Linked DNA regions of Oryctolagus cuniculus. The protein of the gene in region 1 interacts with the protein of each later gene in a biochemical or structural test. Links are inferred from orthologs where the notes say so. Each region holds a gene or a part of one and is shown in the gene's direction. Other genes may lie near its edges.

The links.
Region 2: the proteins of MSH4 (region 1) and MLH3 form a complex in vitro, tested with the Homo sapiens proteins (2 studies listed by BioGRID). The link is inferred for Oryctolagus cuniculus from reciprocal best matches to the Homo sapiens genes MSH4 and MLH3.

The regions. Positions count from the first base shown.
Region 1 is NC_091438.1:96,175,793-96,180,147, reverse strand, and holds part of MSH4 (mutS protein homolog 4), read left to right. Parts: intron 1-1,251; coding exon 1,252-1,367; intron 1,368-2,137; coding exon 2,138-2,311; intron 2,312-4,355. UniProt on the Homo sapiens protein: Involved in meiotic recombination. Required for reciprocal recombination and proper segregation of homologous chromosomes at meiosis.
Region 2 is NC_091451.1:21,093,773-21,098,127, reverse strand, and holds part of MLH3 (DNA mismatch repair protein Mlh3), read left to right. Parts: coding exon 1-3; intron 4-1,041; coding exon 1,042-1,127; intron 1,128-1,850; coding exon 1,851-1,955; intron 1,956-4,293; coding exon 4,294-4,355. UniProt on the Homo sapiens protein: Probably involved in the repair of mismatches in DNA.

The DNA.
Region 1 (4,355 bases):
CCCCAAATGCCTACAACAACTGGGACTGAGCAAGACCAAAGCTGGGATCCGGGAACTCAATCTAGTTCTCTTAAAAGGATGTCAAGAACCCAGTTATTTCAGTAATCACCTGCTGCCTCCCAGCATACACATCAGCAATAAGTCAGATCAGGAGCAGAGTGGGGTCTCAGACCCAAGCACTCAGATACAGGATGTGGGCAGGCCCAAGCACCATCTTAACCACTGGGATGGATATCCATCTCTGAGATAACTTTTAAAACAATCTTGGTACCTAGCCGGCGCCGTGGCTCAATAGGCTAATCCTCCACCTTGCGGCGCCGGCACACCGGGTTCTAGTCCCGGTTGGGGCGCCGGATTCTGTCCCGGTTGCCCCTCTTCCAGGCCAGCTCTCTGCTATGGCCAGGGAGTGCAGTGGAGGATGGCCCAGGTGCTTGGGCCCTGCACCCCATGGGAGACCAGGAAAAGCACCTGGCTCCTGGCTCCTGCCAGGATCAGCGCGGTGCGCCGGCTGCAGCGGCGGCCATTGGAGGGTGAACCAACGGCAAAAGGAAGACCTTTCTCTCTCTGTCTCTCTCTCACTGTCCACTCTGCCTGTCAAAAAAAAAAAAAAAAAAAAAAAAAAAAAAAAACAATCTTGGTACCTGACAAATTCGCTGCTTTCCCATGAGTGTCTTTTTTTCTTCAGTCTTGATAGCTCTTTGACAGATTTTTTTTTTTTTACCCATTACATCAATCGAAGTAGGTAAAGGTTTTACTTTAGAACTTCATGATTCTTTTTTTTTCCTTTCTAAAAAGGTCCATTGCCTCTGACTTTATTCTCAATGAATTTGCATAATATAAATAATATTTCATGGATTTGATAGGCGCAGTTATTGTTTTCATAGTTTCAACTGGCACATTCTAAGATTCTAGCCTTTCTCAATTGTGACAGAGTTTGGAAGGCTTAGTATAAAATCTATGTGATGTTGTTACTATGAATAAACTACTAGAAGGCAGATTCTCATGGTTACTTTTTGACTATTGTACCTGTTATATTCAGTTAAATTTCCTGAGAGTAAATCTTAATAAGGGCTACAGATTGTACTACATGACACTTAGAAAGATGGGTAACCATTTTGTTTTTAATGTTTCTATTTAAATATTGAAAAAAATGTATACATATTTTTACCACCTGTCTATGTGTTTATAATAGCACTTTTGAGCAACATATGGCACTTAAAAATTTATTTTGCAATTAAAACTTTTTTTCAGAACGTTAATTTTACTACTGTCCAAAGGAAATACTTCAATGAAACAAAAGGATTAGAGTATATTGAACAGTTTTGCACAGCAGAATTCAGCACTGTCCTAATGGAGGTTCAGTCCAAGTAAGTTACAACTTAAAAAGAAAGTAAGAAAGCTCCAGTGTGAGTTCCATGAGGGCAGAGTTTTCTTTGATCCCTTCTGTATCCCTACTAACTACCTAGAAAAGTTCCAGACTCATAATACACAATATTATTGAAATAATAAAACAGTTAATTAAAGTTTCTATGCAGTGTCCCCAAATTAGTTATAATCTATTGCTCTGATGATTGCTGCCAGCTTTATTTTGGATTAAAAATCTCAAGCATCACAGTAAACTAGAAAAGTTGTGGCATGGAAATGAAGTACAGTTGAAGTGGTGTTCTTATTACATCATACTTTTAATCCTAGAAATATGAGATAGGAAATTATATTTTTAGGATAAATATTTCTCAGAACGTGCAAAATCAATATGTTCTCTGAGCCAGATTGGACACTGTTTACTCAGTTAGTGACCATGTTTATTCTCACTGAATTTGTAATATATTTTCCTATTGATTGGGACATCCTGACCCCACCTTTAAGGTCTTCATACTCTTTCAGCATTATTTGAGTACTTAGAGTTGTAAATCCAAAATAGACACAAATTACCATTGAATGTTGTCTCTGACACATGGTTTATTGGTGACCCTTAAGTATTCTTAAGTTCCCTTAAGTATTGTATTTTAAAATAAGGAACATTTGTTATAACTTACTTGTAATTTTACTGAAAATAAGTTGAAATGAGTGTTTCTTCTTATAGCAGTAATTTTTTAAATTAAGGACTTACAGTGATATATCATTGATTACCTTACAGATATTACTGTCTTGCAGCTGTTGCAGCTTTGTTAAAATATGTTGAATTTATTCAAAATTCAGTTTATGCACCCAAATCGCTGAAGATTTGTTTCCAAGGTAGTGAACAAACAGCAATGATAGATTCATCATCAGCCCAAAACCTTGAATTGCTAGTTAATAACCAAGACTATAGGTAAGATCTTCTAACTTTTTTAAAAAATGTATTTTTAGGGCCGGTGCTGTGGCTTACTTGGTTAATCCTCCGCCTGTGGTGCCGGCATCCCATGTAGGCACCGGGTTCTGGTCCCAGTTGCTCCTCTTCCAGTCCAGCTCTCTGCTGTGGCCTGGGAGGGCAGTGGAGGATAGCCCAAGTGTTTGGGCCCTGCACCCGCATGGGAGACCAGGAAGAAGCACCTGGCTCCTGGCTTCGGATCGGCCCAGTGTCGGCTGTGGTGGCCATTTGGGGAGTGAACCAACGGAAGGAAGACCTTTGTCTCTGTCTCTCTCTCTCACTGTCTATAACTCTACCTGTCAAATAAATTTTAAAAAATGTATTTTTAAGGGCCGGTGTTAGAGTGTAGTAGTTTAAGCTGTTGCCTATGACACTGGCATCCATATGGATGCCAGTTCGTGTCCCAGCTGCTCTACTTCCAATCCAGCTCTTCACTAATGTGCCTGAGAAATCAGCAGAAGATGGCTCAAGTGCTTGGGATCCTGCAACCCATGTGGGAGACCTGGAAGAGCTACTAGCTCTGGCTTCAGTCTGGCCCAGTCCTCGCCATTATGGCCATCTGGGGAGTGAACCTACAGATATTTCTCACTCTGTTTCGCCCTCTCTCTCTGTAACTCTGCCTTTCAAACAAATAAATAAATCCTTTTTAAAAGTATCATTTTATGTCCTTTTTTTTAAGATTAATTAATTTAAATTTTTTTCAGTTGTTTCATGAAGAAATAGTGAATAAATATATTTGTTTTATTAAAAGATTTCTTTTAAAATTTATTTGGAGAACCAGAAAGGGAGAGAAGGGGAAATGAAAGGGAAAAGGTAAAAGAGAGAGAGCGGGAAAGAGAAAGCTCTGAAGTTCATTCTTGAAATGCCTGCAACAAACTGGGGGTGGCTTATGCTGAAGCCAGGAGCCAGGAACACAATTCGTTTCCAACATGGGTGGCCGGAACCCAGCTACTTGAGCTGCCTTTTAGAATCTGCACTGACAGGAAGCTGAAATCAGAAGTGGAGGTTAGGTCCAGCATTGTGGTGTGGCAGGTAAAGCCACCACTTGCAATGCCAGCATCCCAAATGGGTGCTGGGTTCTGACCCAGCTGCTCCACTTTCCATCCAGCTTCCTGCTAATGGTCTGGGAAAAAAGAAGAAGATGGCCCAAGTACTTGGGCCCCTTTACCCATGGGGGAGACCCAGAAGAAGCTCTGGGTTCCTGACTTCAGCCTGGCACAGTCACAGCTGTTGTGGCCATTTGGAGAGTGAACCAGCAGAGGGAAGATCTCAGTCCAATTCCAAATACTTTTTAATTAGTGTAATTCCTTCAATATCCTGGTATTTTTTAGGCTGTGTTTCTGTATTTTGAATGTTCTTGAGTATATTTGTTAAAAAAATTACATACACACACACACACATTGTGTGTATTATGTGTTTAGTGAATATTGGGAAAGGTAGAGAGGCCATTTTTCATTGGACTTTTCTTTCTTTCTTTTTCTTTTTCTTTTTTTCTTTTATTCCTCTCCCCTCCCTTCCCCTCCTCTCCTCTCTGATTTGTTTATTTGAAAGGCAGAGTTTCAGAGGGAGAGGGTGGGGGAGAAATCTTCCATCTGCTAGTTCATTCCTGAAATGGCCACAATGGTCAGGGCTGGGCCAGGCTGAAGCCAGGAGCTTCTTCCAGGTATCCCATGTGGGTGCAGGGGGCCAACCACTTGGGTCACCCTGTGCTGCTTTCCCAGCACATTAGTAGGGTGCTGGATGCTGGATCAGAAGTGGAGCAGCTGGGACTTGAACCAGCACCCATGTTGGATGCTGCAGGTGGTAGCTTAACCTGCTGTGCCACAGGACTGACCCCTGAATAAATGTTTTTAATCATTGTACCATTGTTGCTAAACTGCTCAGAAGTTTCACCAAAATCAGGTTGTAAAAAGATATTTGGGGGCATTTAGGCTCATAATTAAGATGCCAGCTGAGATGCCCATGTCCTACTTCAGAAAATGTGGGTTTGATTCCTGACTCTGGT
Region 2 (4,355 bases), on another chromosome or scaffold:
GAGGTAGGGGCAATAACATTGCCTGGACACCTTGTACACGCCGTGCCACCTCACGCACAGAACAAAACAGGGCTGCATTAGTAAGCTTGATCAGTGCCAGCTGTGCCTTATTGGAACCAGGAATTCCCCATGGCCCTATTTCACAGCAGAACTAAGTAACTCAGTGTATGCATTTAGATCAGAAATTACTTTTCCAGACTTGAGGTTAATACTGGGTGATTATGCAGTCTGTGGTGCTTTGTGATCAGGGAGATGTTTCTGATTTTTAACGATGGGGGTCACATTGCATGCTGCAAGAGCTTTATCTAAGTAAAACTGAAAAAAGCGACAGACATCTTTTTTTTTTTTTTTTTTTTTTTTTGACAGGCAGAGTGGACAGTGAGAGAGAGAGACAGAGAGAAAGGTCTTCCTTTGCTGTTGGTTCACCCTCCAATGGCCGCCGCTGCTAGCGCGCTGCGGCTGGCGCACCGCGCTGATCCGATGGCAGGAGCCAGGTGCTTCTCCTGGTCTCCCATGGGGTGCAGGGCCCAAGTACTTGGGCCATCCTCCACTGCACTCCCTGGCCACAGCAGAGAGCTGGCCTCGAAGAGGGGCAACCGGGACAGAATCTGGCGCCCCGACCGGGACTAGAACCCGGTGTGCCAGCGCTACAAGGTGGAGGATTAGCCTGTTGAACCGCGGCGCTGACCTAGACATCTATTTTTTAAATTTTTACTAAAAATACATGTTTTTGTGTTTTTTTTTTAACCTATAGGCAGTGAGGCAACAAATTTAATTTGAGCCATTGCTTTTTCGGGACTTGTATTTTGAAGTACCTTTTGTAAACAGTTGGGAGAAAAGCTATAATAGAAGATACAGCCATCAACTCTAGTTTAAAAAGTAGCAGAGCAGAACAGCTTGGAGTTAAAGCAAACACTGAACATCTGTAGAATGTGGGGCAGTGTATCTGATCTTGGGTCTTGAGGCTACAGCCAAGGGAAGTGGGGTTCACCCTTTTTCCTGGGCTCTGGGTGCCAGCTGAATCTTTCCCATTTGCCCTAGATACTGTGGAGGATGCTGTTGGCAGTGAATCCCTGAAGTCTTTGCTCTCAGAATGGGACAACCCAGTATTTACCCGCTACCCAGAGGTGGGCGTGCAGCAGTTTTTATTTGCCTGTTATGTTAAAATTTGAACTTCATTTAAGCTGAGTACGGACACAAATGTATAATTGTGAATAGAAACTGAGTATGTTTCCAGGTAATTTATTTGGAAATTAATGCTTAATGTGGAGAGGAAAAATGAGAATTCATAGCATTTTGGAAGGATTAAACCTGTATACTCAGAGTGTGAATAGTGAATGTGTTTATCGCTGTTGGAAACCCTGACATAGCGGTGGTGCAGTGTTCAGGCTGGTGATGAGAAAACTGCCATCATTAGATAAAGCGGTGAAGCCTCTTCTGGAGGACCGGCTTGTCCGTAGACGTGGGCGTCTGTCCGCAGTGTGAATGCACAGAACGTGGGCGTCTGTCCGCAGTGTGAATGCACAGAACGTACCTCCTACACTGCAGGGTGTGCATAACAAGTGAGCTCTCCATCACTGATTTGTTTAGTCAGGATCTTTAAGGTCTTTGGAGCGTAGACAGATTGTTGATCTGAAGCAGTATTGGTTTTTGTCATTTTGTTTAAACAAACTTACTTAAGATGATTATTCATAGAGCTTTTTGAATTTCTGTAAGTTCCCTGAATTCAAGCCATCTTTAATAGATTATATGAGAGTGAATATTTTTAAAGCACTTTGAAATCTTTGGTAAAACATTTCTGCAGACACAACAATTAACATTTAAATGACATTTGTGCTGGGTCTTTCTAGGTTGCTGTTGATGTAAGCAGTGGCCAGGCTGAGAGCTTAGCGGTTAAAATTCACAACATTTTGTATCCGTATCGTTTCACCAAAGAAATGATTCATTCAATGCAGGTAAAAGATTGACTTTGAAATCTCATGAAAATATATATAAGGCCTAAGCTGGATTAACTCTCACGACATTGAATTTATTTAGTGATATAGACCACCTTGGTCTTGGCACATGCTTGTTTTTGTTTTTGTTTTTATCTCACCGGAACTTGACTGTTGGAAGAAAAGCATAGGATTAATTATAATTGCAAAGAAAGAAATGTCCTCAGTGGTGAGAGCAGGTTTGGGGAGACTCAGTTATGAATTAGACTCTCAGTTTCAGTGATTGTTAACGTATTTCTGCAGATTATATGTATTTGTATTTGACAGTAATTTTTAAATCAGCAAAATAGCATTGGAGACTTTGTCCTTAAATGTACAGCAGTGCCCTTTAGAAAATGACCACAGGGCCTGGTGTTGTGGCCTGGTGAGTAATGCCACCTCCTGTGACGCTGGAATCCCTAACCCTAGCCCCTAACCCCTAACCCTAACCGGTTTGTGTCCTGGCTGCTCCACTTCTGATCCGTCTCCCTACTGATGGCCTGGCCCAGTGCTGGCTGTTGCGGCCATTTGAGGAGTGAACAGTGAATGGAAGCCCTCACTCTTTCTTTCCTTTTCCTTTTCTCTTTCTTACAAGCAGAGTTAGACAGAGAGAGAGAGACAGAGAGAAAGGTCTTCCTTCCGTTGGTTCACCCCGCAAATGGCTGCTACACCGGCGCGCTGCGCTGATCCAAAGCCAGGAGCCAGGTGCTTCTCCTGGTCTCCCATGGGGTGCAGGGCCCAAGCACTTGGGCCATCCTCCACTGCACTCCCTGGCCACAGCAGAGAGCTGGCCTGGAAGAGGGGCAACCGGGACAGAATCCGGCGCCCCGACCGGGACTAGAACCCGGTGTGCCAGCGCTGCTAGGTGGAGGATTAGCCTAGTGAGCCGCGGCGCTGGCCAGCCCTCACTCTTTCTATCTCTCCCTTACTCTCTGTAACTTTGCCTTTTAAATAGATAAATAAACCTTAAAAAAGAAAAAGAAAATGACTGTATTTGCCGTGAGACTACAAAAGCTTCAGAAGCCCCAGGTTGAGGCGCTCCGTGAGCAAAGGGATTCCTGGGCTCATTTGCTTTTCTACTTTGCCCTCTGTTCATCACTGTGGCTGTTGTACTCACCTTGTTTTTAGGTTTTTTAATGAATTTTTTAACGATTTCTTTATTTTATTTGAAAGGCAGAGCTACAGTGAGAGAGAGAGAGAGAGAGTTACTTCCATCTGCTGGTTCACTCCCCAAATGGCTGCAACAGCCAGGGCTGGGCCAGACCAAAGTCAGGAGCTTCTTCCAGGTCTCCCACGTGGGTGCAGGGGCCCAAGCACTCGGGCCATTCCTTTGCTGCTTTCCCAGCTGTGCTAGCAGGGAGCTGGCTCAGAAGTGGAGCAGCTGGGAATTGGTATGCTGGCGCTGCAAGCCACGGCCTAACCTTCTGTGCCACGGTACCAGTACCTACCTTGTTTTCATTTTGGAAGCAAATTAGAAGGGTAGACAGATGTAGTTAACCTCCTAACCTGGCATTGAGTTTACCAGAAAAAGTGGGTGTTAATCCACAAGGTCTAAAGCCCTGGTGGCTTTAAAAGAAAAAAAACAAAACTTTATATGTTTGTTTATTTCAAAGGCAGAGACACATAGATAAGTCAAGAAAGCACTTCCGTTCACTGGTTCACGCCCCAGATGCCTGCAACAGCCAGGGCTGGGCCAGGCTAGAGTCAGGAGGCAGGAACTCAGTCCATGTCTCCTGCATGGGAGGCAGGGATCCAGGTACTTGAGCCAGCGCCTGCTGCCACCAGGTGTGCATTATCAGGAAGCTGGATTAGAAGTGGAGCCAGGACTTGAACCCAGGCAGCCTGATGTGGGGGTGACTTCCCAAGTGGTATCCTTAGCACAGTGCCAAACACCTGCCCCGCCAGTGGCCTTTGTTGCTGTAATGGACTGGCTCCTCCACAATGGTTTGTCTTGTTTCTGCATGAAGTTTTAAAATTTGTTTCAGCCTATTTACTAGCAGGCTGTACTTACATAGACGGTCCTGTGGTCATATTACCCATTAAGAGTCACTCTCTTGGGAGCATTTCATATCTACTCGGAAGCTTTGTTAGAGTGTCCCTCTCAGGTGTCTGTCAGTCTTCCTTTGTGGTCTCTCATTCTGTGTCTGATCTCTCTCCCTGCCCGTTCTTTGTCTTCCTAATGACTCCCTCAGCTCCATCAGCCCTAGATTATGAGTGTTATAATGAAGACAACTCACAGTACGGTTTTATCGTTTTCTGTGTAAATAAGCCTTTGTTCATTTTTGTGTAGTGTTGTGTCACATATTTGAATGTATTGCAGGTTCTCCAGCAAGTGGATAACAAGTTTATTGCCTGTTTAATGAGCACTAAAACTGAAGAGAA